2 linked regions of the Caenorhabditis elegans genome follow. The protein of the gene in region 1 purifies or fractionates together with the protein of each later gene. This does not show direct contact. Each region holds a gene or a part of one and is shown on either strand. Other genes may lie near its edges.

Region 1 (7,968 bases):
AAAAGACTTGAACTTGGCAAGTTTGTGTATTTCTAAAGCAAAGTAAGTTTTATTCGTTTCGTAAAATGAATCTTTATCGAGAAATTGTTCAGAACAACGCACGGAATTGGTCTTTTCAGTGTTAATTCTGTCGATACACACGATTTGGAGCCATCTATCAGGTATAAACTACTTTTTTTTGAATTATACTTACTTAAGTGTATTCATTTTTAGATTGGATACGAAAAACGGGAAATTTGTACTTCTCAAAAATTCAGAGAATGAGGAAGAGAAAAACGACAAAAAGAATAAGAAAAAGGTTTTTTGCAATCGTTTTTTGTTCCACAAAAATTTACATTTAAATTTTTTGCAGAAGGACGAGAATAAATCAGAAAAGAAGAATAGCGGAGAATCAGAAGACGTTGAAGAAGCCAAAAAAACATTTTCTGGACAATTCCGTCCGTTTGGGGTTCTTGAGCCGGCTGCTGCAAAGGACGCTCGAAAAATTTATAGAAATTCTATTCAGGTATTGAAAATCTCAGGAATTTAATTTCAAATCCATTTTTCAGACGATTCTCGACCTTGTATCCACCCAACAATCAATTCTTGCCAAATCCCGCCAACTTGTTGAGGATTGTTAAATTGCATGATTCTGTGATAAATATGTATTCAATCAATATAAAAACAAAACTCTCGATTTATTTCAGCGTTCGCCCGCAATAGCGGAACTTACGAGTAGAGATTTTCAGAGAAAATGATGGATTTCAGCAAGAAATACATGAACATGAAAAGACACGAAAGTTAAATATATTATAAGATTTATAGATCCTGAAAACAGGTGCAATCAGTTCTATTTGAAAAAAAAAAGAATCCCTGAGAGTGCAATTTGAGGAGGTAGGTGGTAGTATGGTTTAGAGGGGAAATTTGAGTAAAACAATTGAAAAAAAAACATCAAAATTTGAATAAAAAAAGAGTTAGTGTGTAAGTTAAAGTAACGCATGCAAACTGAGAATTAGATGAGACAGAAAATGAAATAAATATTGGTTTCAAAATAAAATACATTTCAAAAGCTGAAAAACTATCAGAAAGCTCAAAATTATTTCCTAAAATTTTCACATTTAAATTTGGATGTTCAAGAATTTCGAGACAAAATCTATTTGAGACCATATATTCCATTATTTCTCTATCAATATTCTCAGTGTCTAGATGATTCTATTCATCAGAGGAATTACTATTCTTTTCTCTAATATCATCGTCAGATGTAGTCGGTGATGATTTTTCAGCTGCCATTCTCGCAGCTTCTGCTTCCTCTGCGGCAACTTGTTCCGGTCGATGCTTTCGTCGTCTTTCAGGACAGATTGAGCTCACGTGCTCCTCGGATCCACAGGTATAACACACTTTTGCATCGGTTTTTACGTTTGGACAACTTTTCGCCTTGTGAGTCGCAAACTTTCCACATCTGAAGCAACGTAGTGAGACAGCCTTCTTACGACCCAATGGATGAATTCGGCTTCCTTTCAGTCCTTGTCCTTCTACTTCTCCTGATACCTGAAAACTGTATAAAATTGAGTTGGATTTTCAATTTACATTATTATTTTGCTTTAATATTGCACTGGAACAAAAAACTGAGAATGCGCATTGACAACATATCCTGTAGCGAAAACTACAGTAATTTTTTTAATACTACTGTAATTAGCGCTAGTGCCGATTTACGATCTCGAATGAAATTCTTTTCGAATAGTGACAGCGATATTTCTTTTTTATTCTTCGTGTTTTTTTTGCCCCTAAATCGACACAGCTACAATAGTCATTAAAATGATTACTGTAGTTGTCGCTACGAGATATTTTGCGCGTCAAATATGTTGTGCAATACGCATTCTCAGAATTTCGGATTCCCGTATCTCAATAAATTGCGCAAAAATACCATAAGCAAAGTTTCTCTCGCATTCAAAATATAGGTTAAAGCAGCGTTTTTTTTTAGTTTTTAAATATTATTTTTCAAAAATACTGACAAAGATTAAAGAGAATTCGTAAGAACTAATATACTTTCTAATTGACAGAATAGGAAAAGCTTTTATGAATTATGCTTGATTTTTGTCAGGTTTTTTTGATGAAAAAACAAATTTAAAGAACGCTGACCTTTTTTTTAACTTTTGCTGTTAGAAAAAATAAAAATAAAACGAACCGCATAAGCTTCTCTACCTTTTCCATTCGATCGCTCTTGAATGTAGTATGATACACGTTCTCCTTCATCAAGACTCCGAAATCCTTGCATATTGAGATTAGACTGATGAACGAATAGATCTTCACCGGTGATGTCATCGATCACAAAACCATATCCTTTCGACACATTAAACCATTTGCATGAGCCAAAGTATCGAGGTGTTGGTGACTGAAAAAATTAAATTATTTGAAAGGCATTATGACGCAGTTATTAATTGACATCTTCTTTATATAAATTTTTTAATTTACTGAGTTTTCAGTAATATTTCCTCATTTTAACACCATAAATAATCCACTCTCAAAGTATTTAGGTAACTAAATATTTTTTTTAAATTGCTAAACCGTTAAGATATTTTTAATTAAAGCTCTTCTCGTCGCTCCGACTTTTATTTATAAATTACTTTTTTTCCGGTTTTACCCCGAATCGTCACTGGAAATTCGAGACTATTTACAATCGAATCAATAAATAAACAGTGATATTTTTTCAGTTGCAATTTCAATTAGTTACATACCAATTGAGATTTGATGGGCACCGGATTCTCCAAAGCGGCTTCAATCATTGTTCTAATTAGAACTATGTGTTAACTAGAGAATACAACCTATCAAATATACAGAACAACAATACCACACATACAAATAATAATAGTAATGGGTGAGAGAGAGCACAGAGAAAAAAAGAGTGGCGAGGAAACCCAGAGATTCGAGGAAAGGATGAGTGAGCGGTGGAGGAACTGAATTAGAGATCATTTGAAATGTGGAGTGTTCACAGAGAAACCGACAGGAGGGCATTGGGCGAGGAGCTGTGTGCGCGACACTTCTTCTTCTCAGCTGACCTCTCTCTATTTCTCTGAATCTCTGTTTTTATTCCGCGCGGAAGTGTTAGAAAGGAGAGAGATACCGTATACCAAATAATGATTTACGGATGATGGAAGAATGAAATGCACCTGCAGTTAATGGGAAATCGACTCAAACATCTTATGAACATTCTATATCTTTTGTAAGAATGCGTAATTCTAAGAAAACAAGTTTCTACAATTAAAAAAAAAATTTCAAAGTCAGAGTAATTCCAAAATTGTTTGAAACTATCTGTACTATGCTTAAATGGTCGATTATCATCATAAAAAGTGTAACAATGCTAGAAATTTCTCAATAAGATCAAAATTTTAGGAAATGTACCAAATCCTTAACTGACATTTTCGAAATATCAAAAAAAATATTTGGAGTCTTCAACTAAAAACTGTTACAAAAATATTTACCGAAAATTTCTGAAAATCTAAAAATTGGAACACCAGAAACCAAAATAAAACTGTTTCTGGGTTTCGATAGATTCAGTAAGGTTTGATTGAATTGTCAAAGTTAATTTTAGAGTCATTTGCGAAAATGTTTTATAATTAACTATGCTTAAAAATTGAGAATTAAAACTTGGCTTAAACGAAAAATTTTCGGAAATTAGATAATTTTATAATTCTAAACAAAAAACTAAAAACTTACCGGGAGCCTCTCGAAGGAAGGAACTCTCATGTTCTCAGTAAGCCTATTGTCAACTACATCTGGCAGCCTATCTTCAACTTCATCTTGTGGTGAATATCGGTTATTCCCATCATTCCTTCCCTCCGATACTACCGTCGACATCCTGAAAAAGATTTTTAAAATTTTTTTTTGAGAATCGTCACGTATTTAAATAAAGTAATATACATATATGTAGTTCAGTACTTAATTGTGAGATTTTTAATTAAAAGCATTGCTGAACTTCCGATGATGAAATTAAAATTATAGAAAGAAACTATAAATTCAAATAGAAGCAAGATTGGAAAATGTCAAAACTGAACAAACGGATGATGTTGGCACCGCGCCAATCATCTATTGTCCTCAACACAGCGCGCTTGCAGTAGCGTCCATCAACACCCGGTAGCACAGAAACTAGATGGGTTTGTTCATGATACTCAGTCTGGAAACATATATTGGCTACTATCTCGAAAACCGTCACAAAGTCGATTTTGCGATGCATATAAGAAATGACCGCAATGAAATTATCTATCTTTATTTGTGATGAATGTTTGATTTTGTACTTCCCTGCCAAGTTATGCATGTTTGTTCGGTGGAGCGCGTTTGCACCCATCTAGCAACTGAACCACCGTGAACAACTATTTCTACACCATACTAAAAGAAAAATGAACGGAAATAGTATGATAAAAATGGAGAAATGCAGAGAAAAAGAGATGAAAAATGGACGGCATCGGATGGACGAAGGGTCAGGCGCCAGGACAAAAAGTGATCATTGAAAGTGGGGAGAGTGGTAGAGATAAAGAGAAATTATACAAGGGGAGCAGGGCGCCGGAGGGCGATATATCGGAAAAAAGGAATCACTTATTCAGTATCAATAGGAGATGGAAAAGAAATTGGAAAAAGAAATGAGCATGGAACAGTATTTTTTTTTTTTTTGGAACAGTAATTTTATTTCACCTCTACATCTGCATTTGGTTTTTCCAAATTATTCCAAAAGTCCAAATTTCGATTTGAACTAATGTATTATCAGGTTGTTTCCAAGTTAGAAAAAAAGAAATATCAATTTCCAGCTATTCATATTTCTTTCTATAAGACTTGATTAAACCACCCATATTGGATTAAACGTGATGCAGGTGATCTTAGGTGCAGAGGAGAGAATTGTCGAATAAGAAAATGAATTGAAAATTGAATGATATTTAACCGCCGCAAAAAAAGAACTGACAAGCAGATAAGAACGGTGAGAAGAGATGAAGAGAAGCAGAATTTTCAATTTCTTTCTCACCTTCGTTGCAAAGAGGCTTTGAAGTGATGGAATGGAGATAAAAATGAGATGATCTGATATAATCAACAGTTGGTGGATATCTGGTGGCAACGAATGTTTTATGTTATTTTTTCGACGGGAAAGAGATGAGATTCAGAGGTTTTTGATGATTGGTATCTTTTTGATTTCATAGTGCAAAAGATTTTCTGCGGAATCGAAAATAACTTAAAAATTAAAAAAAAAGCTTTTATCAATGATTTTCTAGCTTTTGAAAAATTTAAGTTATAATTAAATACTGGTTTCAAAACCCAGAAACCAAAAGAAAAACGAATATTTTAAATAGTGTTGAAACCGAAACACAAACGCCTTGCACACATCATTTTCTTGTCTCTTCGTTTGTGCCCCGTTTCCTCTCTATTCTTGTTTTCTTTGTATTTCTTCATCTCACACGCTATTTTTCAATGCCAAGGTTTTTTCAACAGAAAAGCGCTCCGAGATGTGATCGGACAGACAGGAATGCTGGATGGGTTTTATGGCAGTAGATATCGAGAAATGTCTTGGTGAGACTTTCGGATAAATATTTCACAATGAAAACACAAATAAATCTTAAATTCAATTAAATAAAACATGTTTGAAATGGAGAAAATCAAGCTCAGAATAAAATTTTCAAAAAGTGAACCATATGCGCTGCGAGACCCAAAGCAAGTGAATTGTTGTGTGCCTTTAAAACTACCGTAACCTGGAAGTTTCAATTATCGATTTGTTTTTTAGAATAATTGTTTATTTTGATTGATTTCTCGTATTCACATTCATTTTTTAAATATATCTCCGATTTTTTTCAATCTTCACACTCTCAATTTCACATCATAGACCAAGCATCAAAATTAAACAAAAAAATTTAGGCCAAAACCCCAAAAAACTCCCCGCAAAACCGTTTCTTCATTTTTTGATCTATAACCCAGACGCAAAGGAGCACGCGTGCTATCTTGCGGTAAGAACAAACATAGTCAGATAAAAAACGAAGTAAAAGAGAAGAAAAGGTGAGAGACGCCGAGAAACAGACATTGTTCGTCATTCTATATTCGCTCAATAACACGCTCACACATCCAGTCGTTATCTTCGGAAAATATCTGGAAAATAGAGAAATCGATGCCCAACTTTTGAAAATACTCATTTAATTGCGGAACGCTTAGTAATTTTTCTCAAATCTAAGAAATTACTCAAAGTTTCGAAATTGTTTGAATTTCCTTCCACCGATGTTTTCCTCAAATTGATAAATAATTGTATAAAAATGAATAAATTTTTATTAATTTCAGGTCAGAGCACCCTCAAGCTTGAAGAGTTTTACCGAAAATGCTGCTTGTTGATGAAAAATTGGAAAAACGCAGTAGCTCGTCATCACTTGATCGATTTCTTCCTGATCTTCCAGTAAGTCTTGCATTTTAAAAAATCAATAACTTAATATAAATATATAAAAATTTCAAGTAATTTTTGCACGATTTAGCTTAAAACATTTTTTTTAATTATTGAAAATCATTGACAATTCGATAAGCTTGCATTTTCTTCCTTCTCAAAATTTTCTCACGATTAAAAACATGAGATAAAAATAAAATAAAATAAAGTTCCGATGAATCATAAACTTCCCAAAAACGACCGATTTGCATAAAAAAAGGGTATCATTTCATGAAGTTTTATCAGTTTATTGTGGTTATTGTTGCCCTCTGAAAAAACATTCAAATTTTATATCAAAAACATATTTTTAAAAACAAAATTTTAATATTCCAACAGATAAAACTAGTAAATCTCGAATTGTTTAAGGCCAAAGAGTAATCCCTTTTTGGAAATATAAGCCTTTTTAATAGGCTTATATTCCAATTCATGACAAATCAGTTCCGCTTGACTATTCTCTTTTTTTAACTGCCTAGTATTGTTTTGAAATTTAAATTTTCTAGAATTTCAGATTACAAATGTTTTTAACACTCAATAAGTTGAATTTCTCAAAAATCTTTTTTTTCAAATAAATTTATTTCAGCAAAAAGTGAAATCTCGACGGAAAATGCGAAAAATCATGTGTTTTGTGGGACTTTTCGGCATTTCGACAATCTTCTTCATTGCAGTCTCCAGTTGGTTTTTCATGAGGGATTTAGGTGGTTTTAGAGTGCACTTCTTACTAAATTATTAATTTTATCCTAATTTTTAAAACTTTTTTGTTAAAATTTAATTTTTTTCTCTCGAAAGAACGAAACATTTTTGTTCTCCGATTTTTAAATTAAATCGAAAAATCGACATCTTTTTTTATAATTCTGAAAATAAATACACATTGGGACTTTTCAACTTCACTCCGAACGAATCCGACTCACTGATTGATTCAGAAGTGGGCGGAGCAGAGTGTCGATTGGTGGTAGATCTCATTTAGAAGAAATGACATTTTAAAAGTTGAATTTTTTGAATTTTTTTTTCCAAAAATTTCTACTTTGTTAGTTTTTTTAGTTCAAAAACCCTCACTAGCACATCTAACCTCACCTACCCGAATTAGCTCTTGACCCAAAATTCAAGTTAAATCTCATTTTATTTTATTTTTTCAGACATTTCATCGTCGGAAGATGTTCCGCTTTATAATGGAAATATTTACGATCCGGAAAGAGATTCAAAAAGTTTTCGAATTTTGTTAGTTGGTGATACAGGAGGTATAAAATGATTTTAGAAAAAAGTGTATCTCTAGTAATTCAGGAATTCCAATATTGGAGACGACTTGGGCACAAAATGAAGTCAAACAGACAATGGCATCATTAGCAGATGAACATAGTGTTCAAATGATATTAAATATGGGTGATAACATATATTTTACGGGACCCACTGATGAATTTGATCCAAGATTCGAGGTTTGTACTTTTTTTTAACCCAAAATTTTAGTAAATCCCTCTAAATTTAAAATATTTCAGTCACGTTTCGAAAATGTCTACACGAATCCGAGTCTACAAGTTCCATGGCTCACAATA
Region 2 (7,388 bases), on another chromosome or scaffold:
AATTGGAACAAAATCTGTTCATTTTACTGTTTTACTGAATAATCAAAATAAGTACGGGATTTTAGAACTTATTCATCACTAGCACGGAAGTTATAACTAGTTATGCCTGTTTTATAGGAGTTATTCGTTTGCCAATTCATGCAAAACATGTTTACAGACGCCTATGTATCTGCTTACAACTAAAAATTAAAAGAAATTGAAAAGAATCATTAGAAAATGCGAAAAAATCGAAATTTCAGCGGAAATCAAAAAATTTAATAATTGATCAATTATCCGAGAGGAGTACACGGCCGAGAACTACAGAACACTCATTTTCGCGCGAAATTCAAATAAATGTACTTGGAGGTTAATTTCGGCTCTTTGAACTCTCATAGCACCTGTTTGCGAGATTTTTATGATGGTTCGCAAAAATATATCGTTTTCTCAAAGAATAGTTTGAAAAATAAATGTTTTCTGCACGGCAATACCAAATTGTACCTCCCTTGAAACTAAAGAATTTCTCAAAATTGAACACAAGTAGATCATTTATTCAGTAATAAGGTTGATAATTCTAAGTCAGTTATTTAACATGAAGATTATCAAAAACTTCATAGAATTCTTCTGGAATTGGCTGATAGGGATCTCCTTGAACCCAAAAAATTGGAAAGCCGTCGAGAAGTTTGACATCCGGAAGAATTTCCTTCACTCTGTTGCGATAGGTGTAGTCGGAACTGAAATATGTTTTATATTATTTTTCTGTTTTCTAAAAAAATGTGTTCACCTGTAAAGTGGGTTCATTTCCATAGTCAAGACTGTGAGATTCTCAAGTTTCTTCAACTGACGGACGTCTTGCCAACAATTGAGCTAAAAATAATTGTAAAGTTGTAAAATTATAAATTTTTTGCTTACTTTATTCTTACGAATCATAAGACTACTAATTCCCTTGAACTGTTCCACATTTTCGAGTTTCTCAATAATATTATCGTTTAAATCCAACGATTTGAGATTCGTCAACCCAGAAAGCCCATCAATTTTTCGAATTCCATTCTGAGCCAAACTGATTGATTTCAATCCGGACAACGTGTCAAGACCTTCGATGATTTGAAGAGCATTTCCAGGAAGACTAAGCTCTTTCAATTGAGCCATTCCGTCAAGTCCCTCGATTTTACGAATTTGGTTGGCTCCGAGGAAAAGACGCTCCAAATTGACCAAATGAGACAGATTTTCCATTTTTTGAATGCGGTTATCACCAAATTCCAAGTATTTCATAGCAGTATTCTGAAATTTTCAAATAATTGTTGAGTGAAATCACGCTCTACTGCACTACCGTTTCGAGTCCTTCAATGGTAATAATCTTGTTATGAACTAAATGAAGCTCCTCCAAATTAATCAATTCGGAAAGTCCTTCAATTTTCGTTATACGATTGTAGGAGACATCGAGAAATACTAGATTCACCAGAGTTTCCAAATTTTCGAGTTTTTCAATTTGATTATCATTCAAATTGAGACGTGTCAGAGAAGTGAGACATTGGAAATGATCAATCTTCTTCAAAAGATTCCAGCGAAGAGACAGATCTCTAAGAAAATTAAAAAATTAAGTCAAATCTTTAAAAAAAAGGTCTCGACACGACCAAAATTTTGAAGCTACCGTACCTACAAGTATACTTTTGCAATAAATTCAGTAGCTAAAAACTTTCGATCGTGTCGAGACCCGGTACCATCCGAAACCGTAAGCTTTCGCAACTGGATATTACAATTTACAGAAAACGTACCTAATACCTGGAGTATTTTCAAATTGCCAGATTTTCTGAATTCTATGACGAATCAGACTCAATTCGGTGATATCTTCATCAACATTGTGAGCTGAAACTCTGGAATATTATCTGAAAATGTGTTTTCCAACTTACAAATTATTTCCTTGATAATATCACCATTTCCTTTATTCGAAACAATTTTCTCAATTTGCAACATTCTCGCAAAATGATTTGTTTTTATTATTGAACAACGTGTTTTGAAAAGAATCACGTGGTTTTTTGTTGGCGATTTATGCAAAGTTCACGTCTAGGCTCAATTTTTATTACAAGAAAAATTCGTATGTAATAAAAGAAAAAAAGGGGGGGGGGGAGGGAATTAGTGAGGAGGGACTTGAATATTTTAAGAGAGCCGTAGAAAGAAAAATCAACAGTTGATAAAACTTGATCGTTAATATTATTTGGGGAATTTGGATGCAGGGAGGGTAATTAAGCTCAGACTTATTAGTCTCGAAATCAGGTGGAATAAAGAAATTAATTTAGTGAGTCAATTTACATTCACACAGGGAAATATGAGAAGGGAGATGAAAATACATAAACGGGTGAAAACAATTTCCGAGAACCAGCTCTTGTGATTTTATACATTTTTTTTGTTCAAATGAGGGGACACATGGAGAGAAAAGTGACTTTGCGCATGATTTTTTGAGATTTTTTGAATACAGAGCCGGCTGTGTGTGTGAATATCAAGACCCACAAAAATGGGAAGAAAAGGCGCGATTTTTGAAAAGTTTTGAGAAAAATTGATGAGGTTGTGATGTCGGGTGGGGATGGGGTTCAATTATGTACATATACAATTAAAATGGGCAATGGATGCACTAGGAATCACTAGGACTTGTGATAAAAAAGGTTAATAAAGGGGTAATTAATAAATTTTGTGATCGGTTTGTAAAGGTTAGGTTAGAAAAGAGAAAGAATGAATACCCGGGAGTTTTGACAAATTATAAAAAAAGCTCCTGGATACCGTTCTTCGATAAAAAAATGATGATGATGAGAAGAAACACGTATGAAAAACTATCCCGACGAGGAAATACTCGATGTGTTGCTTATGCTCGTCGATTGACTCATACTGCGATCACGGAATTGACGATTCGGGGCTTGTTTCACCATTATGCACTTGTGAAGAAGGAATTCCTAAAAATGTTTTAACAAATCAAAATTTTCTTTTAAAAAAATTAAAGAATGACTATTCTTACCCCAAATTGTGACGCCATTTCCATGTTCATTTCGCCTCGATGCCTTGCATCAAATTCGTCAACGTCGAACCCGTATCCCGAAAGAAACTCCGAGCGCATGCGGCGATCCGTGAATACTTTCTTCGAGTGTTCCATACACGATCTAATGTATTCAAACACTGAAAATAAGGAAATTAATGGAATAAACAAGGTTTCTAATAGCTCACTTGGCATATCAACACCTTGTGCCAAATTATGATCCGTCTCGAACGGATCAGCAATACACATTGGATACTTGCACCAGCGATCCGGTTTGAATTCCAATTTCTTGGACACCATCTGGATAACATTTGTGGAGTAGTCAAAGTATGTGGCATAGTAATCCAAGAATCCAACGAACAAATCAACGACAGAAGCACGACAACGTCGTGTACGAGCAGTGTCTACGAATTTCCAATAATACGTGTTGTAACCTTGGACGTAGACATTTTCACTTTTCTGATGGTTCATTTCCTGAAGACATGGCAACACAGGAATTGGTTCGACTTGCTGAAGATAATGAATAAGCATCACAATCCAAGCATATGAAGACAGCGATCCTTTTGATGCATCTCCAACTCCACTTCGTTTCGCCCACGCTTTGACCCAAACTCCAAGAGTCGGTAGTCTTTCGGGATCCCATTTGCAGTATTGTTGCAAAAGCTGAGTATTGTGAAGAGCCAAATCATTCTTGTAACTGATGCTGAAATAATTAGAATTTTAATTTAAAGTTCTGACAAGATCAAGATTTTATAAAAACTTACTCTGCTTCCATATCCATGTCACTGCTTCTGAATCTGACAATTGGAACTTTGGCGTTGACATATCTCTCATCAACTGCTTTCGGAAAATCGACAAGTGCCTTCGCAACAGCTCTCATCACTCGATCCGAATTGGTTGCCCATGAAGGTGGACTCGGTGAAAAAGAAAGTGACATATCAACATCACAGAATCGGGTACCGAATCCGTTTCTGGTTGATCCATAGATATCCAGGACAACGCGACATCCAAAACATGCACTCAAATGTACTTGCATTTCCAGAGCGAATCGATGAAATAAATCGGATTGTTCAGCTTCCAAACAGTTTCTGATCCAATATACGTTCATTGCAGAGCATATATCCATTCTGTTGATGTACGGCATGGCAACGTACGGATGTAGTGCGTCGAATACTGATCTAAAAATGTTTTTTTTTTAAATAAAAGTAAAATTAACTCGAAAACTAACGTCAATGTGATATGTTTCAAGGCATGTCCGCTCGTCAAATCGTTGTTCATTGATACAAACGGTAGACCTGTAAAATTCCAATTTGTGATTATTATTTTTTTAAAAGATATTAAATTTTCTTCGTATAACGGAAAAAACGTACAGAAAGCTGCCGGAGGTCTCAGATGTGCAGGTCTTTTTGTGACAGCCAGATTACCAAAGCACTCAATGAGCGTTGCTTCTGGCATCGAAACAAGAGCATCATCATCCAGTAAAACATCTCCTTCATAGTATCCACTGCTTCCGTTTTGACTCATTTTGCAAGGTGAACTCGATGAGTGACGTCTTTCGGTGCAATCTGATGTTGTTGTCTTCACTCCTTTCACTGTAGGAGACGACTTCTGAAAAGTAGGATATTATTTTAGTTTTAGGAAAATTTAATATTTACCTGAATAACTGTCATTAGTAAGTGTCAGTTGATGTGAGGGATCTTGTGGTCAGTGGTGTCCAGTGAATGTGTGTGTTGTACCGCGTGTTTGAGCTTTTCTAGCACTCCATACTGAAATAATTTTGAAAATTAATAGAAGAAATATCAACAAAAAAAAAGAGAAATCACGATAAGGAGTAAAGTTCAAAGAATAAGTCAGAGAAAAACCTTTGGAGAGGAAAAACTAAAAAATATATATTCATTTCTAGGAAAATAATGACTAGAATAGCAGAATGAGAAACCGAAATAAGCAAATTACCTCATTTGTCATTCACAGCAATGGATTCTTTTATTTTCTCATGTTTTAAATTAAAATGTTGTTGCTCGACTGGTCTTCATAATTTTCATTCTCAAAAAGGTTTTGAAAAATTGGAACTCAATTTAAGAGGTTTAGCCGAGCGTACTTTTCCATTTTTTTGAAGTAAAAAAAGCTGTAGCGGTGGAGTACATACTTGTTGGACCTTTCCCGTTTTGCGGGATAAACGTTCAACTGAATTCGCCAGACGTTTCGACTCTTCTATCCCATTCCACATGAATTATTCTACAACGTCTTCTCAGAGCACCCCGGCACGTCCATTCACACCAATTCTCACTTTGTTTACTGGGCGAGCTTCATTGGACTGCAGGAACATGCGTCCTCAGTTCACACCCAACAATAGCTAGGAACAAAATGTGTTTTTTGGTTAAAAAACACAAATTTCCATATGAGAAAGCTACTCTTGACGTATACGAATTCTGACCACTACATTAGCTAATTATTTCAGTGAAAATTGAAAAATAAATTATGGATATATAGAAATCTTACACGAGACCGCTGTGCATAAAACTGATTCGCTCTAGGACGCCTCTCTATGAATAAATGAAATAATTGATACTTTGCCCTACATTAGGTCATTTATACTAAAATGTAAAGTACAACTTTTTAAAATAATTCCAACAGAAAAGGGCTCTCCGAGGACATCCCCTAGAGATCCCAAGAGAAAAAGGACAGTCTGACTAACATGATGGCTCGGAAACCAAAACTAGAGCTGGCATCTGTCTTTTCAATCACCTATCCGGGATGCCATCTACCATATAAAATGAAAAAAGTGAAAGTGAAACGCTTCCTGCTGACTATGAGCCAATGCTTGTCTTTGTCGTTCTCGTACACTAAAAAAGAAATGACTTTATTCCAATTTAGGAATGACGACAAAGTCAACAACTGTGAAGAAAAGAAGACCAAAAGTAAGAAAAAATAGAGAAAGACGTGTATGATTCACTATGCATGAGTCTTCTCGATCTGGATATTCCTAACATATCAACAACTCATATTACTCACAGATCGCTTGGTTATTATAACAATTTTTGTGAGAAAACTTCATACGAACTGGATAATATTCCAGAATCGATAATTTCGCTAAAACTGGGATATAGGGAATTAAAAGTATATATTTTCTTAATTCTTGCTTTTCAGAAGTCAAAAAAGCGTTGCAAAAAAAGAAAAACCTTCTGCTCTTTGTTAGATTAATCCATTATAGAAACAATGACCTACTTCTTAATCTTTCATTCCATTCCATTTACTAACGCCTAAAAACATCAAGGATGTAGTGACGAAACATCAATGCAAATATAATGTGACACTTTTACCATTTACCAAATCCAAAATCCAAAATACCAAAAGTTTACCGAAGAATATTTCAAAAACCAGTGAAATATAGATTAGGCCATTTGAAAGTTATATGATAAACTGGAGTATATTTATGTTTTAAGATAAATCTTGCCAGATGAAAAATGTGGATTATACTATTCATAGCATTTTCAGAAAACATCATCGTCACGTAGCCTTTTCTTAGAGAAACTTCCAAAACTACTTGTGTGGTCTGAATTATAAGAAAACGGAGACGTAATTACCAATTCGTCACGGGAAGAACTAATAATTATCAGTATTCTCTTCGAAATTAAGTGGAACCAGAGGGCATTATTTTCCGAAACCAATAACATAAATATAACATTCTAGAATTTGGCAAGTTGACGCTGTACAACAGCACTCCATGACAACCTCATATTATTCTGACGAAATTGGGAAAGAAAACCGCAGCTCTATAGACAACGAGAAATTGTTATTATAACACAGAAAATTCTGTCATTGAAAGTAGATTTACAAATCTGAACTGAAAACATTTCAACTCGAAAGGAAACGAATTTCCTCAAAACTTGCAATATTTTGCAGCTTTATGAGAACTCCCAGAAGACGAACACGTTGAAAAATAGGAAAATTGAATACAAAGGAGAATAGGGACAGCATGCCTGCACACGTGGTGCGTCTACCATTAGAAAAAACAGAAAAAGAGCGGGAAGAATGAGAGAATGAGAGGGAAGGAGAACGAGTGCGATAAAGTATTTACGCCTTCTGTGCATGTGTGCATGTCTGGTCTTAATGCAACCACGGCGGGAACATCTGTCATCCCGTATCGACATCATGCTCTCTTGGGCTAAATAATAGATGACGAGTGGCATGAAGAGTAGTGATAGATATGAACATCAAGATCTTCAAATCCGGTTTTAAAAAGAATATTCTAAATCTTGACTATTTAGATAAAACATTCTAAAGTTCGACACGGTAGTATTTCTCGTATTTTCCTTTTTCAGAATGAAACTCTTTGTATTAGATTATTTCTGGATAACTAACGCTTGAATGCATTTAAAAAAACAAG

The links.
Region 2: the proteins of lin-28 (region 1) and pup-2 purify together in Caenorhabditis elegans (affinity purification with western blotting, with the first as the bait; one study listed by BioGRID). This does not show direct contact.

Annotation. Positions count from the first base shown.
Region 1 is NC_003279.8:8,406,970-8,414,937, forward strand, and holds lin-28 (Protein lin-28), read right to left. Parts: upstream 3,836-7,968; 5' UTR 3,835-3,835; coding exon 3,694-3,834; intron 2,952-3,693; exon of another isoform or gene 2,763-2,951; coding exon of another isoform or gene 2,715-2,762; intron 2,372-2,714; coding exon 2,165-2,371; intron 1,528-2,164; coding exon 1,192-1,527; 3' UTR 663-1,191; downstream 1-662. Other genes in the region: F02E9.1 (Vacuolar ATPase assembly protein VMA22), read left to right, coding at 1-42, 93-161, 214-298, 353-505, 549-620; F02E9.7 (Tartrate-resistant acid phosphatase type 5), read left to right, coding at 6,323-6,397, 7,002-7,092, 7,555-7,656, 7,700-7,851, 7,912-7,968. UniProt on the Caenorhabditis elegans protein: Heterochronic protein which controls the choice of stage specific cell fates. Regulates the timing of the second larval stage events (L2 events) in the hypodermis.
Region 2 is NC_003281.10:5,183,299-5,190,686, reverse strand, and holds pup-2 (PAP-associated domain-containing protein), read right to left. Parts: upstream 4,768-7,388; 5' UTR 4,672-4,767; coding exon 4,657-4,671; intron 4,610-4,656; coding exon 4,372-4,609; intron 4,297-4,371; coding exon 4,230-4,296; intron 4,180-4,229; coding exon 3,766-4,179; intron 3,705-3,765; coding exon 3,190-3,704; intron 3,142-3,189; coding exon 2,984-3,141; intron 2,922-2,983; coding exon 2,802-2,921; 3' UTR 2,101-2,801; downstream 1-2,100. Other genes in the region: K10D2.8 (Protein phosphatase 1 regulatory subunit 7), read right to left, coding at 560-710, 761-843, 889-1,257, 1,307-1,556, 1,752-1,842, 1,887-1,950.